Saccharomyces cerevisiae S288C: one gene and its partners. The protein of the gene in region 3 binds, or shares a complex with, the protein of the main gene of each other region. Each region holds a gene or a part of one and is shown on either strand. Other genes may lie near its edges.

What was found.
Region 1: MRPS9 (region 3) and VAR1 share a complex: the UniProt entries of both Saccharomyces cerevisiae proteins name them as parts of the mitochondrial small ribosomal subunit.
Region 2: MRPS9 (region 3) and RSM28 share a complex: the UniProt entries of both Saccharomyces cerevisiae proteins name them as parts of the mitochondrial small ribosomal subunit.
Region 4: MRPS9 (region 3) and MRP21 share a complex: the UniProt entries of both Saccharomyces cerevisiae proteins name them as parts of the mitochondrial small ribosomal subunit.

Annotation. Positions count from the first base shown.
Region 1 is NC_001224.1:47,265-50,599, reverse strand, and holds VAR1 (mitochondrial 37S ribosomal protein VAR1), read right to left. Parts: upstream 1,700-3,335; coding exon 503-1,699; downstream 1-502. UniProt on the Saccharomyces cerevisiae protein: Component of the mitochondrial ribosome (mitoribosome), a dedicated translation machinery responsible for the synthesis of mitochondrial genome-encoded proteins, including at least some of the essential transmembrane subunits of the mitochondrial respiratory chain.
Region 2 is NC_001136.10:1,435,346-1,438,518, reverse strand, and holds RSM28 (mitochondrial 37S ribosomal protein mS46 RSM28), read right to left. Parts: upstream 1,590-3,173; coding exon 504-1,589; downstream 1-503. Other genes in the region: CORVET complex subunit VPS3, read left to right, coding at 1-404; MZM1 (Mzm1p), read right to left, coding at 1,931-2,302; IZH1 (PAQR-type receptor), read right to left, coding at 2,645-3,173. UniProt on the Saccharomyces cerevisiae protein: Component of the mitochondrial ribosome (mitoribosome), a dedicated translation machinery responsible for the synthesis of mitochondrial genome-encoded proteins, including at least some of the essential transmembrane subunits of the mitochondrial respiratory chain.
Region 3 is NC_001134.8:533,550-536,598, forward strand, and holds MRPS9 (mitochondrial 37S ribosomal protein uS9m MRPS9), read left to right. Parts: upstream 1-1,710; coding exon 1,711-2,547; downstream 2,548-3,049. Other genes in the region: alcohol dehydrogenase ADH5, read left to right, coding at 213-1,268; RTC2 (cationic amino acid transporter), read left to right, coding at 3,026-3,049. UniProt on the Saccharomyces cerevisiae protein: Component of the mitochondrial ribosome (mitoribosome), a dedicated translation machinery responsible for the synthesis of mitochondrial genome-encoded proteins, including at least some of the essential transmembrane subunits of the mitochondrial respiratory chain.
Region 4 is NC_001134.8:47,020-49,859, reverse strand, and holds MRP21 (mitochondrial 37S ribosomal protein bS21m MRP21), read right to left. Parts: upstream 1,036-2,840; coding exon 502-1,035; downstream 1-501. Other genes in the region: AVT5 (amino acid transporter), read right to left, coding at 1-286; MAP2 (methionine aminopeptidase), read left to right, coding at 1,232-2,497; phospholipid metabolism-regulating protein SCS22, read left to right, coding at 2,680-2,713, 2,802-2,840. UniProt on the Saccharomyces cerevisiae protein: Component of the mitochondrial ribosome (mitoribosome), a dedicated translation machinery responsible for the synthesis of mitochondrial genome-encoded proteins, including at least some of the essential transmembrane subunits of the mitochondrial respiratory chain.

The DNA of each region.
Region 1 (3,335 bases), on a different chromosome or scaffold from region 3:
TATAAATAACTAACCGCCCCCGCGGGGGCGGTTTATATAATTTAATAATTAATATATTAATAATAATTATAATAGTCCGGCCCGCCCCCTGCGGGGCGGACCCCGAAGGAGTAATATATATATATATTTTTATTTAATTAACTATCAATAATAATTATTTATAATAATAAAATATAAATAGGATCCAAAAGTAGGATTAATTTATAATTTTATTTGATATTTATTTTTAATTAAATTATTATTATAATAATTATATAAAAAAATTAATTAATTAATATTTTTAATATAAATAAATTATAATTTTATTTTTATATAATTATATGATATTATATTATATTTTATTTATATATAATTATATATATATAAAAAGTAAATATTATTTTATATATTTATATATATATATATATTATTTATTTATTTATTTTATTTATTATATTTATTTTATTTCTCCTTTCGGGGTTCCGGCTCCCGTGGCCGGGCCCCGGAACTATTAATATATATATTAAATAAAGTTTAATTTAACTTTAATATTATATTTACCATTTTTATTAATATTAGAATTATTATATAAATTATGATTAGAAGGGATATAATTTAATTTATAATTATTATTAATATTACTTCATAAATATTTTTTATTATTAAAAGTACCATTTAATAAATTAAGTGTACTAGTTCTACCATTATTATTACTTAATCTACCTTTAAATTTAATAGATCAACCAACTAAATATTTATATATTAAAATATCTATAGGAATATTATCAATAGTTATATTATTATAAATATTATTAATATTACCAATATAATTATTATTATTATTATTATAATTATTATTATTATTAATATTATTATTATTATTTAATAAATTAATTATATTATTATATTTATTATTATTAATATTATTAATATTATTAATATAATTTATAGAAATATTATGATCATTTAATTTAGGCATAATATTATTTAATATACGTTGATAATTAGTTAAGATACCATTATTATATTTATCTATATCATTTAAACTAATATATTTACTAAAAATATCACTATTTAAATAAATATATGATAATTTAATAGGTTCAATAGTTACTTTTTTTTTATAATAATAACTTAAAATATTACATAAATTATTATTTATATTATTATTTATAATATTTATTAATTTATTTATTATATTTATATAATAATTATTATTATTATTATTATTATTATTATTAATATCATTATTATAATAATAAAATTTAATATTTAATTTATTTAAACTATGTTGATTAATAAGTTTACTTATAATAATTTTATTAATATTTATATTATTTAATTTTAAAGTTATTATTTTATATAATAATTTATTAATTAATTTATCATTTATAGTATTTATAATTTCTATATTTTTATTATAATTATAAATTTGTAGATTTCAATTATTTATATTATTTAAATGTTGTAATTTATTATTAATATTCCCCGCGGGACCAATCCGGTGAACAACCGGATTGGCGCCCGCGGGGTTTATATTATTATTATTTAATATTCTTTTTATATTATTTATTTTTTTATTATTTATATCTAATAATATATTCTTTAATAATAATTTCTTATTTATTAATGAATCTAATAGATTATTAATAATAATATTATTATTATTATTAAGTTTATTTATTATTGATAAAATTATATTTAATAATTTTAATTTCATTATTTTTTATTTTTACTTTTTATCTATTATATATACATATTAATATTAATATTAATATAAATAGAAATATATATATATATATAATATGCATCCTTATTATAATATTATTTATTATTATAAATAATAATATATTAGATATTTTTTGCAGTTATTAATAACATTATATTCTTTATAATAATAATATAAATCCCAAATAAAAAAAAATAATTATTATTAATAATTTATATATAAATAATTTATAAAATAAAATATTATAATTTTATATATAAAAATAAAAATATTATTAAAATAAAATATATCATAATATTATTAAAATATATATATAAATATATAAATATATATATATATATATAAATATAAAGAATTATTAATTATTTATAATTTTTAATATATTATTATTAATTAATAAAATAAAATCCCTTCTTAAGAATAAAAAGGGTCGGACCGGACTATTATATAAATAATATTATTAAAATAATAATTATTATTATTATTATTTTTATATATTTTATATTTATTAAAATTAATTAATTAATTAATTATTATTATTTATTTATTTATTTTATTTTTATAGGAATAATATTAAAATTATTATTATATATATGTATTATTACGGATGATGTAGGATTTGAACCTACGTAGCCAATAAAGACTAATGATAGCTCAAATATCACACTTTAAACCACTCAGTCAACCATCCTTAAGAGGAATATAAATATAAATATAAATATTAATATAAATATAAATATTAAATAAACTCCTTTCGGGGTTCCGGCTCCCGTGGCCGGGCCCCGGAACTATAAATATATTATATATATATATTATAAAAATCTTTAATATAATATTATATAATTATTAATATAAGAACTTTTAAACTTTTATTAATTTATTTTCTCCTTCGGGGTTCGGTCCCCCTCCCTAACGGGAGGGGGTCCCTCACTCCTTTCTTAAAATAAATTATTATTAATAATTATTATATAATAAGAATTAATATAATTAATATAATTAATTTTATAAATTATAATATTAAAATAATTATTATTATTATTATATAATTAATCATATATTTTTAATTTATTATATTTATTAATATAATATAAATTATTATTTAATATTTAATATTTAAATAATATAAACCCCGCGGGACCAATCCGGTGAACAACCGGATTGGCGCCCGCGGGGAATATTAATAAATTAAATATTTAAATAATTATAATTAAATATTATTAATGTATATATAAATTTATATATTATATAGATAGATAGATAGATTTATAATATATTTTATTATATTGTTATAATATATTATAATTTATTTATAAACCTAATTATTATATTAATTATATGAAAATTATAAATTATATATATTTTATTAAATATTAATAGTTCCGGGGCCCGGCCACGGGAGCCGGAACCCCGAAAGGAGATGTTCACTAATATTATATTAATATTAATATTAATATTATTAAATGAATAATACAATAAAAATTATATTGTGTTCAATTAAATATATTTAATATATTTATATATAAAGAATTTATTATTTATTAATAAATATTATCATAATATATATATTTCTTATTTATTAATAAATATTTTTATTATTAATAAATAATATATCTTATTATGGTAATTT
Region 2 (3,173 bases), on a different chromosome or scaffold from region 3:
TATTTTTCCCCAATGAATTAACAAACTGGGTTTCTTCCGAAGAATTGCTGAAAATATATTTGTCATTTAATGATTTCAGAAGTGTAGAAAAATACATAGGCAAGCAGAACTTGGTTGCGGTGATGAAACAATACTTGGACATATCTTCTTTGAATTACTCAGTTGAATTAGTGACTAATTTGCTACAGAGAAATTTTGAACTTTTAGATGATACAGATATTCAATTAAAGATCCTCGAAACTATACCTTCCGTATTTCCCGTACAAACAATATCCGAATTGCTTTTAAAGGTACTTATTAAGTATCAAGAAAAGAAGGAGGAATCTAATTTGCGGAAATGTTTGTTGAAAAATCAAATATCCATTTCTGACGAACTAAGCCGGAATTTTGATAGTCAAGGATAAGAAGAGCCCACCTATTCTTTTTCTGTTCAGGCATACAATTCAAATTTTATACGTACTAGATATTTACAGGTATGTAAGAATGAAATAACGATGTTTGATTTACTGTTGTAATTCAGAAATTGGTTTCATTCCAGAACAAACATCATATACCAATTTCTTTTCCTCGGAGCCCATAACAACAGATTGTAATGATAACCTCACAACTTGACTATTTTGTACGAGCTTACTCACAGTATCTTTAGATTTCGTCAGTTTTTCAAAATCTTTTTTCACATATGGTTTTAAGAGTTGATATTCTCCTGTTACTTGCCTATGAAAATCTTCTGGGTCTTCTTCAATAAGTAAATTCTGCAATTGAGGCTCTTTGGCAAAAATCAAGGAGGATCCTGGTGTATATTTACCAAAGTTTGGCGTGTTTAGGGTGAAATCATGTACTTTGAGGATTCCCAAATTTGGCGATCTGTAAATGGGGTAATTGGATTTTTTCAAGCTATCTAAGGTAAAGTTGACTAATCTGGATTCCTTTGTTGGAAAAACTTGAGGAGTATATTCTAACAAAGATAAAGGAGTGGGCTCTTCTAGTACATATTCTGAACTGACAGGTCTCTTGATAACCTTCTGTAGCTGCTGTTGAGGAGCCTTTCTCCTTTTAGATGCTGTTAAGATATGACTCTTTTTTTGAAACCTTGCTTTAGATTTGGGGGTTCCATTGAAATTAACAGGTTTTTGCTCCATCGACGAATTGAAGACATCAAGTAAATCATCTTCGACTCTCGCATCTCCTTTCAAATTATTTTTGCCATTCTGCATCTTTTTGAACTGTGGCTGCATAACTACTGTATTTCCAGTAGGATTCTTTACAAAAGACGTATTAGCACCTTTATTCCACTGCTGCTTGTTAGCACGAACAGAATCACTAGAACGGTTTTTCAGTCTCATGTTTCTTTCTCCTTGATTTCCCTCTCTACCCCTGCTTTCTTTATTGTTCATACTATTCCTATTCTGATTCCCGTTTCTCCTCTTATTTTGCATTCTACCCTCCTTCATCTTGTCCAATTTGAGAGCATTGGAGGAAGCTTTTGCTGTTGCCTCTTGAGCCCTTGCTAGAATGCTATTTATGAAATCTTCTGTGACACTTGTGCTGTAATGAGCGCGACTCACACATCTAAACATGGAGGAGCGCATTTTCTACTCCGTCTATTTCTCTTATTATGGCTCGTCCAACTAGATTATTTAATGAGTTACCGCTGCCCTTTTCCTCTTTTATGCTTTCTCCAGTTTCGTTAAGTTTAATTCCGCTATAAAGCTTTGTTCATTTCCGTCAAAAGGGATAAAGCACTAGCAACTACGCTGTTTCAGTAGCACATCAAATACAACAAGCTGTATACATGTACATACTACAAACAGAACAAATGCAACGATATATCGTGCTAAATCAGTTTATATGCCACCTAGCAAAGTTGCTAGGTACTAAAAAAGTATTTACATGTATATAGCTTCGAAGATAAAACAAAATCAAGGCATTATCATTGCTTTTTATCAGAGCATTTAAATGGTCTTGCCTTTAAGTTTGTTTTCACTCTTGCCGTAGGGTCTGCAATCGTCTCATTGTCACCCAATTCGGTGTCTTTGTGAATGTTCAAATGGTACCTAGGCTCCTTAGTACTTGAGCCATCAACCTTTTTGCCCTGAACCAGGTTTCGTCTCAAAAAAACAGCCACATCCTCTAAATGTTGAATCTGATCCTCTGTGGTGAGTTTAGGATCTGGGGGACATAACATTCCTGAACGCATTTTAGCTCTCGCGGCTAGTAATACTTCAGCATCATTCCGGAAAGCTATTCGGGTTGCTCTTAAGCCATGCCTGTATGCATTCAGGGCCTTTGTTCTCGTGCTCATAGTGTGTTAAATTTATATAATTTGTTCTTTTTATTCTCTTCAGTGAAACGCAAGCGTACCGAAAAATATAAGGAAGTCTTTTAGTCCTATCCTTTTCTCTTCCTCTCTTTCCTTTGTAGTAGGTTCACTTATTCAAACGTTTAATTTTTCGGCATTACTCACTTTAGTAAGACCAAAATTAATTAGGCTAATATAGCGAAGTACCTGTCAAAATGCGATCTATGATAAAAGCATGATGTGACGAATATCTAAAAAGGAATAAAGACTTTTTTTGCATTTAATTATTTTCTAACCTTAGATATATAATGTTATTTATTTGATTTTGTAGTAGTTGTAGGCCCATCAAGGGTGGATATGAGAATGCATTAATTTGTAAGAATCGATAATGGCTTTCAAGTGGCATACAGAACCAAGAACCACCATAATATGAAATATTTGATGAGAGCTACCGAAGAAATCGAACTTCCCTGGAGCCAAAGTTTCAGGAATCCTAAACCCGTAGATTACAGCCCCTGAAATGTAAAAGAGAGCTTCCCAAAACACAAAGCTGACTTTTATTCTGTTAAGAACCCCTTGGATACCGAACTTGAAAAACCCTGTGGTCAATGGGAGTAAGCCACTAAATCCAAACAATATGAAAAACATGGCCCTAAATGGACGAAATGTGGAAGTGTTAAACTTGTCGTGGAGGACACAGACTGTACAAAATGTTGCCAGGACTAAAGTAACAATCGTGAAAAGACTGAAGTAGGATATGTGGTCGAAGTAACCAAAGTATATTATAGGGATCATAGAACAGGAAATCAAACTGATAATCCCCAAGTAGTCGAGCTTGCTCCAGAAATTGCTTTGCTTTTCAGAGTGTTGCTTC
Region 3 (3,049 bases):
GTGACAATGAAATAATCAAATTGTGACATCTGCTGACGCGGGATCGTTCCTTCGTATTGTCTAGATTGTAATCTATATAACATACTACGAATATAAAAGAGGGACTACAAGATATTTCTAGCGCAAACTACTGCTTTACTGTCTCACAATGTCTCTGATTGGAAGATACCTAAGAAAATTATTTAACTACATATCTACAAAATCAAAGCATCATGCCTTCGCAAGTCATTCCTGAAAAACAAAAGGCTATTGTCTTTTATGAGACAGATGGAAAATTGGAATATAAAGACGTCACAGTTCCGGAACCTAAGCCTAACGAAATTTTAGTCCACGTTAAATATTCTGGTGTTTGTCATAGTGACTTGCACGCGTGGCACGGTGATTGGCCATTTCAATTGAAATTTCCATTAATCGGTGGTCACGAAGGTGCTGGTGTTGTTGTTAAGTTGGGATCTAACGTTAAGGGCTGGAAAGTCGGTGATTTTGCAGGTATAAAATGGTTGAATGGGACTTGCATGTCCTGTGAATATTGTGAAGTAGGTAATGAATCTCAATGTCCTTATTTGGATGGTACTGGCTTCACACATGATGGTACTTTTCAAGAATACGCAACTGCCGATGCCGTTCAAGCTGCCCATATTCCACCAAACGTCAATCTTGCTGAAGTTGCCCCAATCTTGTGTGCAGGTATCACTGTTTATAAGGCGTTGAAAAGAGCCAATGTGATACCAGGCCAATGGGTCACTATATCCGGTGCATGCGGTGGCTTGGGTTCTCTGGCAATCCAATACGCCCTTGCTATGGGTTACAGGGTCATTGGTATCGATGGTGGTAATGCCAAGCGAAAGTTATTTGAACAATTAGGCGGAGAAATATTCATCGATTTCACGGAAGAAAAAGACATTGTTGGTGCTATAATAAAGGCCACTAATGGCGGTTCTCATGGAGTTATTAATGTGTCTGTTTCTGAAGCAGCTATCGAGGCTTCTACGAGGTATTGTAGGCCCAATGGTACTGTCGTCCTGGTTGGTATGCCAGCTCATGCTTACTGCAATTCCGATGTTTTCAATCAAGTTGTAAAATCAATCTCCATCGTTGGATCTTGTGTTGGAAATAGAGCTGATACAAGGGAGGCTTTAGATTTCTTCGCCAGAGGTTTGATCAAATCTCCGATCCACTTAGCTGGCCTATCGGATGTTCCTGAAATTTTTGCAAAGATGGAGAAGGGTGAAATTGTTGGTAGATATGTTGTTGAGACTTCTAAATGATCTTTTGTAACGAATTTGATGAATATATTTTTACTTTTTATATAAGCTATTTTGTAGATATTGACTTTTTACGATTTATTTGTAACAATGAGAATTACTCCATTTCTGAACTTCAGTAAATAGCGAGTGATTCTGTACTTTGCGAGAACCGGTGGACATTTGGTATTTTGCCTTACAAGAACAACCTATACAAACGTTTCAATATCTAATTCTTTGTAATCCATTGTTTTACGAGACATATAATGTGATATATAGATGAACTTTACGTATAAAATGATATATTTAAAACTAGCAACTGCGTGCGTAAGACAAACTGAAATAGGCCATTTACGGAAAAGAAATTTAATAATGTCGACTGGAAACTGAAACCAGGAGGAGTAGAAATTGGTTAAATTGATTAGCTAAAATTTACTCGTTGTGGACAGAGTTTGAGCCAAGCGGAATGTTTTCAAGGCTTTCTTTGTTTCGAAGGGCAGCTCTGGCTCCTGCCCCTATGAGAATGTCTTTTAGGACTATTTATCAAAAAACCGAGGATGAATTGCCCAGAAGGATCGTCCCAAAGCTAGCCACATTTTATTCGGCGAATCCTAACCATGAAGATCGTATTAATCGACTCGAAAGACTTCTAAGGAAATACATAAAACTGCCATCTCAGAACAACAATGAAGCACAACAAACAAAAGCTCCTTGGATTTCTTTCGATGAGTACGCTTTAATCGGCGGTGGTACGAAATTAAAGCCTACGCAATATACTCAGCTACTGTATATGTTGAATAAACTTCACAACATTGATCCTCAACTTACTAATGATGAAATCACATCCGAACTATCCCAATATTATAAAAAAAGTTCAATGCTTTCCAATAATATCAAAATCAAAACTTTAGATGAGTTTGGAAGAAGTATAGCCGTTGGAAAAAGGAAAAGTTCCACTGCGAAAGTATTCGTTGTTAGAGGTACAGGTGAGATATTAGTTAATGGTCGACAATTGAATGATTACTTCCTTAAGATGAAAGACAGAGAATCAATCATGTATCCACTTCAAGTGATCGAATCAGTTGGAAAGTACAATATTTTTGCGACAACGTCTGGAGGCGGACCTACGGGTCAGGCTGAATCAATCATGCACGCCATTGCGAAAGCTTTGGTTGTGTTCAATCCATTATTAAAATCCAGACTACATAAAGCTGGCGTCTTAACAAGAGATTACAGGCACGTCGAAAGAAAGAAGCCAGGAAAAAAGAAGGCAAGAAAGATGCCAACATGGGTCAAGAGATAGTCTTAGTGCATCTTGTTACCTCAATTTCGAACGGAAGCGTGCGTGCTCTGAGTTTTTTGACACATGCCAGAAGAAACGTTATATATTTTGCATACAACGCCGCCCAGCATTAGAAGCACAACTCTCGTTCGTTATTCCTGTAAATAAAGTTATATGTATTCGAATATTGCTCAGTTAGTATTTTCTTCTACTTACTGCACATAATACTTCATCTTTTTTTTCCTCTCACCCGCAAAGCAAAGGGGCCTTGCAGCAATGACTCAAATTCCATTGGAAAAAAGAAGGAGATGATAAGATGCAAATCAGAATAGATTTTACTATGACCGTTACATGTAAAAAGAGTCATAATATAAACCATAAATACTACAAATAACACCGGGTTCAGGCATATAAATAAACTATTCTCCTGTAATATCCCACAATATTTTGTTATAACCCAGACGTAATAGCCTCAAGCGAGCATCCCTAAATTTCTGCCATGAAGCTGATCCCAATTATTTTG
Region 4 (2,840 bases), 490 kb from region 3:
CAACGCCAAAACATTTAACAGCAATGGCAAAATCGAACACTACACTTATTGACGGATTGATTAGTTGGGTGAGTTTAGCAAACGAGGCGTTCTCAGATTTAGGTACGTACTTCGCTATTCGAGTCTGTAATAGCAGCCCACATAAGGAACATATTCCGCAAAATGTTAGCGTTATCAGACCAGGCATTAACCCAAATGGCTTGAATGCAAACGGCATTGCAAGTACGCCTGCTCCACATGCTGTATGGAGCAAAGTTAAGACTCCCGAACGTACGTTTGACGGCATATTGAGGAAGCTGCTTACTTTTCGTTTCCACTTTATCTTGCTGTTCGTTCGAGCAACAGTATTTATTTCCTTTTTTTGACGATGGAAATAATGGATAAGTGAAGTCATAGAATAAAAAATATACAAAAATTTAACTAAATAGTTACGCATTACCTATTTACAAAGACGGAAATCAATGGCGAAAATTTCACAATATTCAAGAGTTGATGGTACGATTAGTATCCTTTCCTCTTGGCATCTTTAACAATTTCAATCAACCTCTTGAAGCCCATCATGAATTCCTTCCTATGCCTTTGAGATCTCTTCAATTCAGCCACTTTCCCCGGCTTCATGTAAAACCGTTGACTTCTTTTATCTCCGGGAATATTGTTCTCAAACATGATCCTGTTTAATCTCTTAAATGATTCTGCAGGGTTGTTCTTATTCACGATTATAGATTTTCCAGAATTGAATCTCATTTGTGCATTCTCCACGCTACTTCTAGCAATTTCCGCCTCGGATAGAAGCTCCCTCTTGTTTATTCTCCCAGCAGATTGCATCATATCTACTGGAATTTCCATTGATAAAATATCTGCATTATCAGTTTTGCTTTTAGAGGTTTGGCCACGATCGCTGTTGCTTCCCTGAGCTAATTTGATTGGATTTAGTATGATTTTATCGATATCCGAATTTTGTTGGCGTAAACAGTCGATCGTTGTGAAACCTCTTCTGAGAGAGATTCTTGAAAGCCTCAGCGTGCTCTTCAACATTATGGTTATGCTCTTATGGGTGATATTTGACAGATTTTTTACTCTTCAAGGGACCTTTAATGACCTGGTCTCACTTATTTTTTATTTTCAATCTTGGGAAAGAAGCGAACTTAAAAAAGAAAGGAAGCCATAGCAAGAAGCTAATAAGTGGGCTTTTACATCAACAAGTACTGTAGAAGCTCTACCGTATTGAAAAATGACAGACGCTGAAATAGAAAATTCCCCTGCTTCTGATTTAAAAGAATTGAATTTGGAGAATGAAGGCGTTGAACAGCAAGACCAGGCAAAAGCTGACGAGTCAGACCCAGTAGAAAGCAAAAAGAAGAAGAACAAGAAAAAGAAGAAGAAGAAAAGCAATGTGAAGAAGATTGAATTACTGTTTCCAGATGGAAAGTACCCAGAAGGTGCGTGGATGGACTATCATCAAGATTTCAATCTGCAAAGAACCACGGATGAAGAATCACGTTATTTGAAAAGGGATCTGGAAAGGGCCGAACATTGGAATGATGTCAGAAAGGGTGCTGAGATACATCGTCGTGTGAGAAGGGCCATCAAGGACAGAATCGTTCCTGGGATGAAGTTAATGGATATCGCTGACATGATCGAAAATACTACAAGAAAGTATACAGGTGCCGAAAATTTATTAGCGATGGAGGATCCCAAATCTCAAGGTATTGGGTTTCCAACGGGTCTCTCTCTCAACCATTGTGCTGCACATTTCACACCCAATGCAGGCGACAAAACCGTTCTGAAATACGAAGACGTGATGAAGGTAGATTATGGTGTGCAGGTAAACGGTAACATCATTGATTCTGCCTTTACTGTTTCCTTTGATCCACAATACGATAACCTGCTAGCCGCTGTAAAGGACGCTACTTACACGGGTATTAAAGAAGCGGGTATCGATGTGAGATTAACCGACATCGGTGAAGCCATCCAAGAAGTTATGGAATCCTACGAAGTGGAAATCAATGGTGAGACTTACCAGGTTAAACCTTGTCGTAATCTATGTGGCCACAGTATCGCACCATATCGTATCCACGGCGGTAAATCCGTTCCCATCGTCAAAAATGGGGACACTACAAAAATGGAGGAAGGTGAGCACTTTGCCATTGAAACTTTTGGTTCTACTGGTAGAGGTTATGTTACTGCCGGTGGGGAAGTTTCTCATTATGCCAGATCTGCTGAAGACCATCAGGTAATGCCCACGTTAGACAGCGCCAAGAACTTGTTAAAAACGATAGACCGCAACTTTGGGACTTTACCGTTCTGTCGCCGATACCTAGACAGACTTGGCCAAGAGAAATACTTATTTGCGTTGAATAACTTGGTTAGACACGGTTTAGTACAGGATTATCCACCATTGAACGATATCCCCGGATCCTACACTGCACAATTCGAACACACCATCTTGTTGCATGCTCACAAAAAGGAAGTCGTTTCGAAAGGTGATGACTACTGAGGTAAAATGCGCTTTCAAATGGCCTCCTCACTAGGTATATGAATACTGTTGTAGTTATATAGATAGTTTAATATGGCTTGCCGCCCGTTTAGAATGATGCATTACCTTATATAAGACCTATGGGGGTCTCAAACAGTGGTATGACGACAGATAATATAAGCACTAGTTCAGACGAGTAAACAATGAGAATAGTGCCAGAAAAGCTGGTGTTCAAGGGTATGTTTGACGAGAATTGCTAGTGTGCGGGAAACTTTGCTACCTTTTTTGGTGCGATGCAACAGGTTACTAATATGTAATACTTCAGCTCCCCTTAATAAACAATCAACAGAGTATATAAAGCTCG